Drosophila melanogaster: one gene and its partners. The protein of the gene in region 3 purifies or fractionates together with the protein of the main gene of each other region. This does not show direct contact. Each region holds a gene or a part of one and is shown on either strand. Other genes may lie near its edges.

Region 1 (3,759 bases), on a different chromosome or scaffold from region 3:
TTACGTGGGGCGTGTCGTTTGAATAGAGACCTCAAATTGATATATCTACGAGGCTATTTTTCGTAGAAATCGCGTCTTAGCCCACCACCCTATGAGCGCTTCGGTGCGACTGTATATATTTGGGAGCTCCCACACATGATTAGATTTCCTTTCTGTACTGTGAAGGAGACAGTAATCCGTTACTACTCCATAATATCAAGGACACCATGTTATTGTTCAAATGTTTAAAAATGTTTAAAAATTCAAAATTCATGTTTATTTAAATATTTTTAACACCTACACCATATGCATATCATTCGATTTCTGGAGGCATACTAGTAATCTTATAATTCTAGTCCATGATCTAATATTATAGCACAATAAAGCTAAATTAAATAACTACTTCCATTCTTAATATATTTATCTTTTTTGTATCATGGCGACTTCAGCGTGCCGAACTTCACTATTTTCTTAACAAAATTAATAGTTCAGAAATTTAGCTTAAACCATAGAATTATATGGGGATTCAATCAACTCTAATCTGGATAACCGTCCCATTGTTACTTATGAGGTTCAAATTTAATATATATTTATTTGTCTTTATCTTGCACTTAATGGGAACCAACATCAGGCTTACATATTATGCACTCACCCTGTCGTTGTAACTGTGTTGAAGGCCTTTCCACGTTGGTTAACGACGTACTGTAGGAGATTATATGTATAAAGTTTAACTGCCTTAGAAGCCGTTTTCATCCTTGCCGAGATAACGAGAAGCCTCGCCTACTGCTCGCCATTCCTTCTCATACTCCTAACTTGGAGCAGGCTGAGATCCTGCTGTTGCAATGATATTTTTTCCCCCACACGCAGGAACGCTCAGAACGGGTGCAACTGACTTTAGGTCTCGTTACGAAGTCTGCGTTTTTGGTTTACATTTTGAAATGACCCTTACGCTAAATTAAAAGCATTATAAGCGATGCGTTAAGCGCCCGATCTGGGAACAGTGCCAAAATTTCAGATGTACTCACTGCCTCGAAACGTGGTAAAGATTAAGATCGCTCGAGCTTCGCTGTTATACGATTAAGGTATCCGAAAATCCTTCAGAACATGGGCATCAGCGTTATGGGCGTCATATCGTTTTCAGACAAATCACATGCACCATTGGCGATTTTCGTTTCCAATATCTGGGCGTTCATACGTACGAACAGACAGTTATACAAAAGACAAAAGGGGTGCGTATACATCGCAGCAAATTTTTGACACATACCCCTCACTTCATGACTTATGTAAAAAGACCAAAATAATCACAAACCAGGTATTCATTTTGGATCAAACCAGACAAACGTGGTTATGAAAACGGTTATGAAAATAATGTAACCATATTAAAATTTATATATATATATATAAATATATATATCCACTACTATATATATATATATATATATATATTTAAATATATACATTTGTATTTATATATTTATTCAAAATAAACTAATACATCGTTTACTTACACTTTACTATTTCTACTGTTATGTTATAATACTGAAAAACTTGAACTTGAAATGAAAATCGACTGCTTGTTAAATATAAAATTATTAACAATTCCGAAAGACTAAGTTTCAATACAAAGCTAACAACAAGGTAGGAATCTAGCTTTGGCAGTGATAATAATTAAATAATAATATTAAAGCAAGAATTCCCGTTACTCAACTTAAAGAAAAAAATCAACACATAGTTAGTGGTCGTGGAAACATCGTCTGCGTCTATATCTATAGAATCAGCATGCTTTAAGTTCTAGTTCTTATAGTTCCTGAAAGCGAGACGTTCTTACAGACAGACGGATTGGTTGATTTAAAGATTGACACTTATGCATTCTCTAAATCCCGGTGCTTGATGTTGCAATGTGAAGACAAGGGTGATGTATCTGTCAACTAGTAGTAGTGGAGCTAGTGTATAAGAAGCAAAAGTGGCAAGAATACCCCTGTGCTAAATTAAATTGGAAGCTTGACATATCGCAAGACGGCCACGCTGGCCTTGCTCTATCTTATGTTGGCGTTGGTATTTTAAGATATCTCGGTGGTACGTGTAAGTTGAATATTTTTACGAAATTCAATTTAAAAAATTTTTTTAGGATGTGCAGTTATAGTGGCTTGATTTTATTAAGATTACCAGAAGAATTAACTAAACAATCTTTAAAATAAAACACACCCGCCCAGTGTGATAAAGTCACACAAATCAAAAATTTGTACATACATCACTGTGTGTCTGTATGCGTCCAGATACTTACGAATTTTTTTTACCTTTTAGATCTATATTAGTTCTATTAGTTCTATATTTCAAACATGAAAGCTCGAATCAGACATTTCAATTCTATAAACATGTTAATTTTAATGTGTGATGAGGGTGCATGTGTATTTCGCGTTCGTGTGTGACAATCAGTTTGATATTTTAGGTTAGGTTTCTGTGTTGCTTTTATATTATATTATTTTACTTTTACTATCCATTCTGTAAAGCTCTGGTAAGTTTTTTTTTATCACTAGTTCTTAACTAAGCTTTAAAATAAATCCTTTGTTGTACTGTTTGCTTTGAAAAAGACTTGAAGCTGTTTGCTTTATTTATAGAACTTGAACTGTTTGAAAAATAAACAATTGTGCACAGAATCATAAAGCCATTAGGAGTTTAACAAAAACACTGAAAATTTGATTTCATTGCCTTTCTTACAAATAAATCAACCAAAAACTTTTTTGAACTTATTGTCAGCATAACATTAAACAAGAGGCAAATAAAAATGACAGATTCAATGAAATTTGGCCCGGAATGGTTGCGCAATATGTCAGCCGAGCCTTCGGGCTCTCCCAGTACCTACAACGTTGGTAATGCAGCTCAAAACAATTCGATTGGAGGGCACAACCTGGGAAACAACACGGCGGCATCCGCTTCCCGTAATCTATTTCCAGAATACCGGTACGGACGCGAGGAAATGCTGTCCTTGTTCGATCGGAACTGCCTACTGCCGCAGATCCTGCCATCGTTCAAAAAGCTCTTCGTGGAAAAGGTTCAGTGCCCTCTTGCACTGACACCGAGCTCCGAGGAGGACATCAACCAAAACTCACTTGGCAATAACGTATGTGAAGTAATTTGACATGAGTTTTAGAACATAATTTACTTTTCTTTGAAACTAGTCTCGTCCTGCCTGGTTGCAGCGCTCGCCCAGTGGATTTGGTAGTGCCTCCCGAGGCTCTGGACGTGGTGGAACCGTTGACCGGGGACGGATGCGCGGAAAATCGGCCTATCATCCGATATACCAACGCCCAAGCGGTCTATATGATGAAAGCTTATCGGTTATATCAAAGGTAATTGCAAATACGAACTAAATAAGGAAGTACGATTAGTTGTTGATTTTTTCTGCCAGGCCGAACGCACATGGAGCGACCGCAACGGAACTGGAGATTCTGCGGCAACCACCACCTCCACTAGTGGCTCTGGTGCTCTAGATTGGAATGGAACTCCAAGCTCAAGTCCTCGAAAAGATTATTCTAATAATCATCGCAACTTGGAAAACTGGCGACGAACACGTAACGAAGATGGATCCGGTGATGGTCCATCCTCCAGCGGTTCCATGAGCGGACCCGATATTGCTGGTTGGCGGAGCGGTGTCGTCGGTGGAAGTACAAACGCAGGTTTTGGTACCAATAGCCATCGGTGGGGTCAGTCAATTACCTTTATATTATTATTTTTCATTTTTACTCCTACACATATGAGCACAATAATACATGTACTGCT
Region 2 (3,337 bases), on a different chromosome or scaffold from region 3:
TTAATTAAACAAAGAAATCTATGACCTCTTCTGTGATACTATTGCGAATCAGATAAGCCTCCGCGCAAAAGAGAAAACATTTGTTTCGATTTTGTCAATTAACGTTATCTCTTACTGGAGTAATGATTTTTTTTTTTAATATTTTTGGATTCTAAAATTTGTGAGTGCAGTTCGGAAAACGGAGATTAATACATTTGTTACATTTTCAATGTACGATGTCGGTATTGCATAGTTTATAGTGTACTTTCGATTTTCGGTTTATTTCTCATTAAATAATTACAACTTAGGCGCTCCCCTCGATTATGTATCTTTTGTATAATATGAACGAAATACGCGTTGTCAAACGGGCCGTGGATCGCTCGCTTGTTTACTCTGACGTCGATTGATGATGTGTGCCGACAAAACACAAATGTCCCACATCTATGCACTTATCCATCATCCGCTTATGCCGGCAGCTGGAGCTTCTTGCCCTTAAGAACTTTGGTAATGTATAAGTAGAAGAAGTCGCAGTACAAGACGGTCTGGACAACTCCGGCGAAGATCGCGATAAGGTCGTAGTGCGACTCGACCATGTACCGGTAGACCCAGTTGAGCAAGTAGAGTGCACGGTACGATCCCAGGGCGAAGAGGTAGTGGCTGGTGATGGACTCGGCCTCGCCGGTTCTGCTCACTAGGAACAGCTGCGGCAGAATGGCCACCGATTCCAAATAGATCGAGAATGTCCACAGCACTTCCATCACGGTAAACTCATGATTGATCACCAGCGAGAGCAGGGCGCACGGCACCAGCAGGAATTCGATGCGGAACGAATCGTGATTGTGGTCATAGGTGGCCTTAAACTTCACGTACATCAAATACACGGTGGCACCGGACGTGGCCAGGAACAACACCTTCATCACCGAGTTGTACAGGCTCACGTAGGTGGTGAACAGATCCAGGTAGCGCGTCAGATAGACCACGGCGAACAGGATCTGCGACTTGCCCGATATTCCGGCGCACGAGCGGGTCTTCCATATCTTCAGCAGCAGTATTATGATGGCAAACACATGCGACAGATCCCCAGCAAAGCGAAAGATATTCATCGTGATCTAATCCGCCGACTTGGCTACTTGGCTGCCCGGTTGGCTGTTTGATTGTTCTACTTCCTTTCGCTGCGGCTGCGTCACGGAACGCACGCCTATATGAAAATGGGAGTGTATACTATAGCAATAATGGCGGCATTCAGTGTTTCAACAGCTGCATACGTTACCAAAATGACTTTTCGCCTAATTTGCCAACGAGTAGAGATGTGAGGGCTTTGCCGCTTCGGAAAAAAACTTGTCAGAATGTCGGCATAAACAATGACGTGGCTGATGAATAAGAATAAGTTTGATAACATGGCCACTGCCTATCGATATCGATAAGTGCCGCCACATGATTTTTTTAATGAAAATTCGACCATCTCTAACGAAAAAAATTGAGAAAAAACATACTGATTCAAATTTTTTCTTTTTTCGTTTTTTATCATAAGATTTAAAAAAAATTTAATTTTTTTCTCTTCTTTTGCTAGGGATAGTCGAATGTTTGTTTAAAAAATCATGTGGATTATCAATAAAAAATTTATATTCGATAGGCTCGATTGAAAGACACCAGAAAATGCTGACCGCCGCACACGCCACTCGATTTATTCTTCATGCCTATCGAAAAAAGCCGTGGTGAGGTTCCGGCATCTGTATTTTATTTACAAGCGATAGAATTAACATAGAAATCAAATAAAATGGTAAGTAAAAACACTGTTTTAAGCATCTGACTGCAATGGTTAAGTTTTGTTTAGTTGTATTAATTCATAGATTCTTACTTTCGCGGTTGCGATTTCGTATTTACATAGGCATACATACATACAAACATGCATGCGAATAAATAAAACAATTTGTTTTGGCTAATTAACTATTTTATATTTGTTTAAAATTATGATTTTTAGTGATCTTCGATATTACGCTGAGATTTGCTATTTCAAACTCTGTGGTTTATTAAAATTTTTATAAATACCGGCTTTTTTAAAGGGTCGAAATGGTTTACAAAAGATGGCGCGACTTTTATGCATGCTATTGTATTTCACAATTAAATCCTTTGAATTCCTTTATTTCAGACGATCGGCAAGAACAACAAAATGATTCAGCACCTGAATTATCGGGTGCGAATCGTGCTGCAGGACTCGCGTACCTTCATCGGTACCTTCAAAGCCTTCGACAAACACATGAACTTGATCCTCGGCGACTGCGAGGAGTTCCGGAAGATTCGCTCGAAGAATTCCAAGGTGCCCGAGCGCGAGGAGAAGCGCGTGCTGGGCTTTGTATTGCTGCGCGGCGAGAACATAGTTTCACTGACGGTGGAGGGACCACCGCCGCCAGAGGAGGGCCTGCCCCGAGTTCCCATTCCGGGAGCAGCTCCTGGTCCGGGAATCGGTCGCGTGGCCGGACGCGGAATGCCTATCAACTTGTCCGCCGTGCCAGCGGGTCTCCAGGGTCCCGTGAGAGGTGTGGGCGGACCCGCCCAACAGCACATGGCTCCGATGGGACGAGGAGTGCCACGAGCACCGATGATGGGTGCACCGCCACCGGGCATGATTCCCGGCGGCATGCCCTCGATGCCAGGAAACATGGGACGCGGTGCTCCGCCACCGATGCGCGGACCGCCGCCCAGCATGATCCGTGGAGCACCACCACCGGGCAGGGGTGGCTATTAAGTATAAAGTACAATCTAATAAAAACTCATTTAGAAAACACCACTTAATCGATGGATTCGTGTATTTATGTGTTGAATGTAAGCATACGTACATACAATGATTATTGCTTTACATCAATTATATGAGAACCTAAGCAGCAGGGACTGGATTTGGTCGTTGCCAGCCACATCGTTCGTTAATTGGGTGTTCCAGTTAAGACCGAAACGCCTCGTGAATGATTATACCTTTGGTACGTGCGTGTGCGTACAGGATGTTTTATGCCCAGATGTTGGAGAGATCCCAGATCTTGATGAGCCTGTCCTGGCCCACTGTCAACAGGCGCTTTCTGTCCTCGTCCAGGTCCATGTAGACGATCGAATGCTTGGCGTCATTGAATGAAGCCAGCGAGGGGCGCTCGACTGTCTGAAGTTGTTTGTAGCACGGATCACAGGTACGCACATCAAACTCGAAGCCCATTATGGGTATGTTAATGCGATTGGTGGAACAGTTGTCGCACACGGCTTTGCCGCAGTGGCGACAATGATGCTGTCGTATTCCTGACAGTCAGAAATTACTTGTAAAACAAAGAGTAACTCAAGTGTAAGCTATTTATCTCACCCAGCTGCTTTTGAT
Region 3 (3,759 bases):
CAAAGTGAGTCTGTGTGGGTGTACGAGGACGCTTTTTCCTACACATATACAGACACAATTGCGCGCATATTTGCTTACGTTTTCCACACTTTTTTTCATTTCGCACTTGGTTACTCATATTTTTAGAGTTTTATATTTAACACCATCCAAAATACATACACACTGAACCTAAGCCAACATATTGTGTAGTTAATTGCCTGTTTCATTGTTAGCTTTTGAATTGCTTTCAGTACCGTAATTACTTTAATGAGGATATTTCCTTGAAAGGAGCTGCTGTTGCTATATTGTATACATTTTCATTACCATTTTCCAACGATTTTGCAAATAAGAAAAACGCAACACACACACCGCGCGATTGGCGCTGCACGAATGAAGAAAACGCAAAGAAGATCCAACAGCCAAGCCAAATGGAGTCCACAAACGACCCCCGAGTGTTGTATACATGTACGTCCGTCTGTGTGTGTGTGTGCACAGGAGGTCGGATAAAAACAACAACTGCCAGCTGTGTGTGCAACAAAGTGGATGTGGATTCCATTCGAGGAGTGTTGGGAAAACATCCGCGCTCAAGGGGTTACATGGACTTTAGCTATTGTTAATAATTTTAATTAACATATATATCATTTTATGCAAAGAAATTTAACAGATTGTATAAAGTCCCTCATGTTTTTCAGCTGATAAATGCTGGATATGAAATACGTATTCTTTCAAAGAGAAATCCTTTGACACGCTACTGAAGTTCCATTATTGAATATAATGTAATAAAATAACTTTTAAAAATGGCGAAACCCCTTTATGGTATTGTAACACTTCACCTTCAAGTGGCCAGGACGTTTTGCAGAAACCCTAGCAATTGGCGTTGTTATACACACATGCATATATACACAAAATAAATACATATACATATGTAAGTTTTTGGCTGGGGGGAGTTCAACAGGACCCAACAGCTGGCCACAGGTTGCGTTCCACATAGAGAAATGTGGGAGCCTGGGCTCCAAACGCGATCCACACTCCAGCCATATTTGTGGAACGCGACAAACAGCTGGCTAGGAAAAGGGGAAGAGGACGCAAAGGGGAAGGGAACGAAAAGAAGGGGAAGAGAAAAAGCAGGAGCAAAGGAAATAAGAACACATATGTATACGATTTGTTTTTTGAGTGGGAACAGCTGGAAATAATTAACTAAGTTCACTAAGCAAGCCAAAAGCCAATTTATAAGTGTAGTTTTGTTACAACGTTTTTGGAAATATTTTTATTTTAATTTTCAAAAATTTTCATAATAATTGCACGTGAATTAAAAGTCAATTCATTAAGTTTTTATTTTCATTAAAGTTTTTAATTCACCACCGAAAATGAAATTGAAGCCATCTTGGTCACCAAATTTTTAAGACGCAATTTGTCCAAATGGTTCTTATAACGCAAGCCAGATAGCAAATACGTATAGTTTTTTGTTCAACACGCCAACGATTTGTTTTTGTTATTTTTCAAATTGATGCCGCTGTTGCACACACACACACAAACACAAAAAATGCCAAACACACAGCGCACAGCGAAGTGATACAAAAATGTCTGCTGAGAAAACTGCGATTTTTCGCTCTTTAATCCACGTTTTCCGTACCTCCACTGACCAGTCATAGTTCACTTTGCGAGAGGTGACTTCATAAAGAACCTGCCGTTTGTGTTTTGTCAAACTTTTGTACATTTTAAAGACAAAATCACAATATTTAATTTCTTACATGTTTTCCGTTTGCCGCAAGCAGTGTGACCGCATCTCGCGAGTGACGAGTTCCGTACTGCCGGATATAAGGGCAGCACATTAAACACGAATGGATTCGTTTTCAATAATATACTTGTAAAATTATATATATGAAGGCAGATTTTGCTATATTATTTTAATGCTATTTTATTTTGAAATGGTTAATTTAATAATATTTGTTATTTTATTACTTTGTAAAGGGGATGGTGTCCCTGCTAACGATCAACCAGGGCTGGAGAAACACAGACAATAGAAAAACATCGATAGGCTTTGCCAATAACATCGATACGTTATACTAGTATTTTGCCTAATATAAGATTTGGTCACACCGCACAACACTCTCTAGAAAGACAACAAATTTTTTGGCGAGCGGACGTGTCGGCGGACAAAAAGCTTGCAAACAGAACAGAACGGAAGAACACAGAAGAGAACGACACGACACGGACAGCGGGGAAAGGTGGCAATTGAAAGAAAGTGCCATACTTAGTGTGCGAGCGAAAGAGAGAGAGAGCAAACTGGGTATTGCTTGTGTGTGTGTAGTAGTTTAGTGGTCGTGTGTGTGGGAGTTTGTGTACGAAGCGAGTGGCAAAGAAAAACACAACAAACATTATTCCAAGAAAATTTCCAATCATGTCGGTGGAATCCTCCAGTTCGGCGGTCCAACAGCCGCCGTCGTCCTCGAACCTACCGCTCCTGGGCGACAACCAGGCGGTGGCCACGACCAGCTCCGCCTCCTCGGCCTCTTCCTCTTCCACATCGTCGTCCTCCTCGTCGGTGGGCGGCGGCAATGTGGTGGGCGTGCCGCTGGACACGCAGGGCAGCGGAGAACCGCCGGCCAAGAAACAGTTGTTGGACGGAGGGGGCGGTGGTGCCACCAGCAGCAGCGGCAGCAGCTTGCTTTCCAGTGCCGCAGCCGCCTCGGGAATGCACGAAAAGCTGGCCCACCGCATCTCCAATGCCCTGTGCTGTGCCGTCTGCCTGGATTTGCCCAAGACGGCCATGTACCAGGTGAGTTTTTGGATTATTTACAGCGGCTTGAACTATAAGCCCTTGTAAACTAGAATCAAAAAAAGGAAGTAAGAGCTTTAAAAGCGAAAGAAGAAAAACAGCAAGTGCGCGTGTGTGTGTGCGCCTCATTCTGTATACAAACAAATCGTGGCAGCTCAGCTGTAAGAGTAAAACACCTCTCTCCCTCTCTCCACCCTAGCAAGACACAGCTGTGCGAGAGCGAGACGTCTAGCTGGGGCGCTCTTGCATTATTCGCCTTGAAAACATTGAAAGAGTGCGAGGGGGAGCGAGGGCGGGAGTTAAGTCCGTGATCGAGGGTGGAGCCTTTTGTGAAGATATGATGTGTAAATGTATGAAGGTTTTTAAGTTTCAGCAGATAGTTGTAGTGTGAAGATTTCCAATAAAGAATACGACTGACTTTCTTGAAGTTCAAAATCAGTATGAAGTTTATTGTCAGAGAGTGGCTACTCGAGTCCTCCGTTTTCGTCTTATACATAAGTACATAGGTTCTTAATTGTAAGCATAATGAACATGCCGACTCGGCATGTGGCTGGCTAGCTGGGGACAATGTTGCAGTGCGACTTTTGTGTAATGTCAGCATTCGGCCGGAATGTCAGCATTCGGCCGGATGCGGTGTTCCAGTTGCCGTCTTCCCGGTTGAGTGTCCGATGATTTGTTTAGAGGCGTGGGGGTTTAGGGGGTGGGGTGGTAACTCCTCCCCCCCCAGTTCGAAGTGACGGCCATAGCGAAGGTATGGATGACGCGTAGATTGGTACGTGATGATCCTCGTGGATGTGGACGATGTGTTTCGTTCGTCGGTGCAGCCATAAGATGACTGCTAGGAACGTTACCAATCCGAGCAGAGTGTAGAGTGTCCAGGTGTGCTGTATAGTATTGTGATGGACGGCCAGGATTTTATCCATTGTTTGGGTGGCTTCGAGGTGCAGTTTTTCTAGGCTTAGTACCGTAATAGTGGTATTCCTAGTTACTTTTCGCATGGG

Evidence for each region.
Region 1: the proteins of PAN3 (region 3) and Gyf purify together in Drosophila melanogaster (affinity purification with western blotting, with the first as the bait; one study listed by BioGRID). This does not show direct contact.
Region 2: the proteins of PAN3 (region 3) and SmB purify together in Drosophila melanogaster (affinity purification with western blotting; one study listed by BioGRID). This does not show direct contact.

Annotation. Positions count from the first base shown.
Region 1 is NC_004353.4:865,272-869,030, reverse strand, and holds the start of Gyf (gigyf), read left to right. Parts: upstream 1-2,005; 5' UTR 2,006-2,055; exon of another isoform or gene 2,056-2,061; intron 2,062-2,736; 5' UTR 2,737-2,764; coding exon 2,765-3,100; intron 3,101-3,158; coding exon 3,159-3,329; intron 3,330-3,388; coding exon 3,389-3,683; intron 3,684-3,759.
Region 2 is NT_033779.5:10,424,916-10,428,252, reverse strand, and holds SmB (small ribonucleoprotein particle protein SmB), read left to right. Parts: upstream 1-1,625; 5' UTR 1,626-1,756; coding exon 1,757-1,759; intron 1,760-2,128; coding exon 2,129-2,725; 3' UTR 2,726-2,770; downstream 2,771-3,337. Other genes in the region: KdelR (KDEL receptor), read right to left, coding at 444-1,082; Wdfy2 (WD repeat and FYVE domain containing 2), read right to left, coding at 2,981-3,261, 3,323-3,337. UniProt on the Drosophila melanogaster protein: Plays a role in pre-mRNA splicing as a core component of the spliceosomal U1, U2, U4 and U5 small nuclear ribonucleoproteins (snRNPs), the building blocks of the spliceosome. Involved in germline establishment and development.
Region 3 is NT_037436.4:3,069,161-3,072,919, reverse strand, and holds the start of PAN3 (Poly(A) specific ribonuclease subunit PAN3), read right to left. Parts: upstream 1,788-3,759; 5' UTR 1,613-1,787; intron 374-1,612; exon of another isoform or gene 160-373; intron 1-159. Other genes in the region: CG32486 (uncharacterized protein), read left to right, coding at 2,381-2,758. UniProt on the Drosophila melanogaster protein: Regulatory subunit of the poly(A)-nuclease (PAN) deadenylation complex, one of two cytoplasmic mRNA deadenylases involved in general and miRNA-mediated mRNA turnover.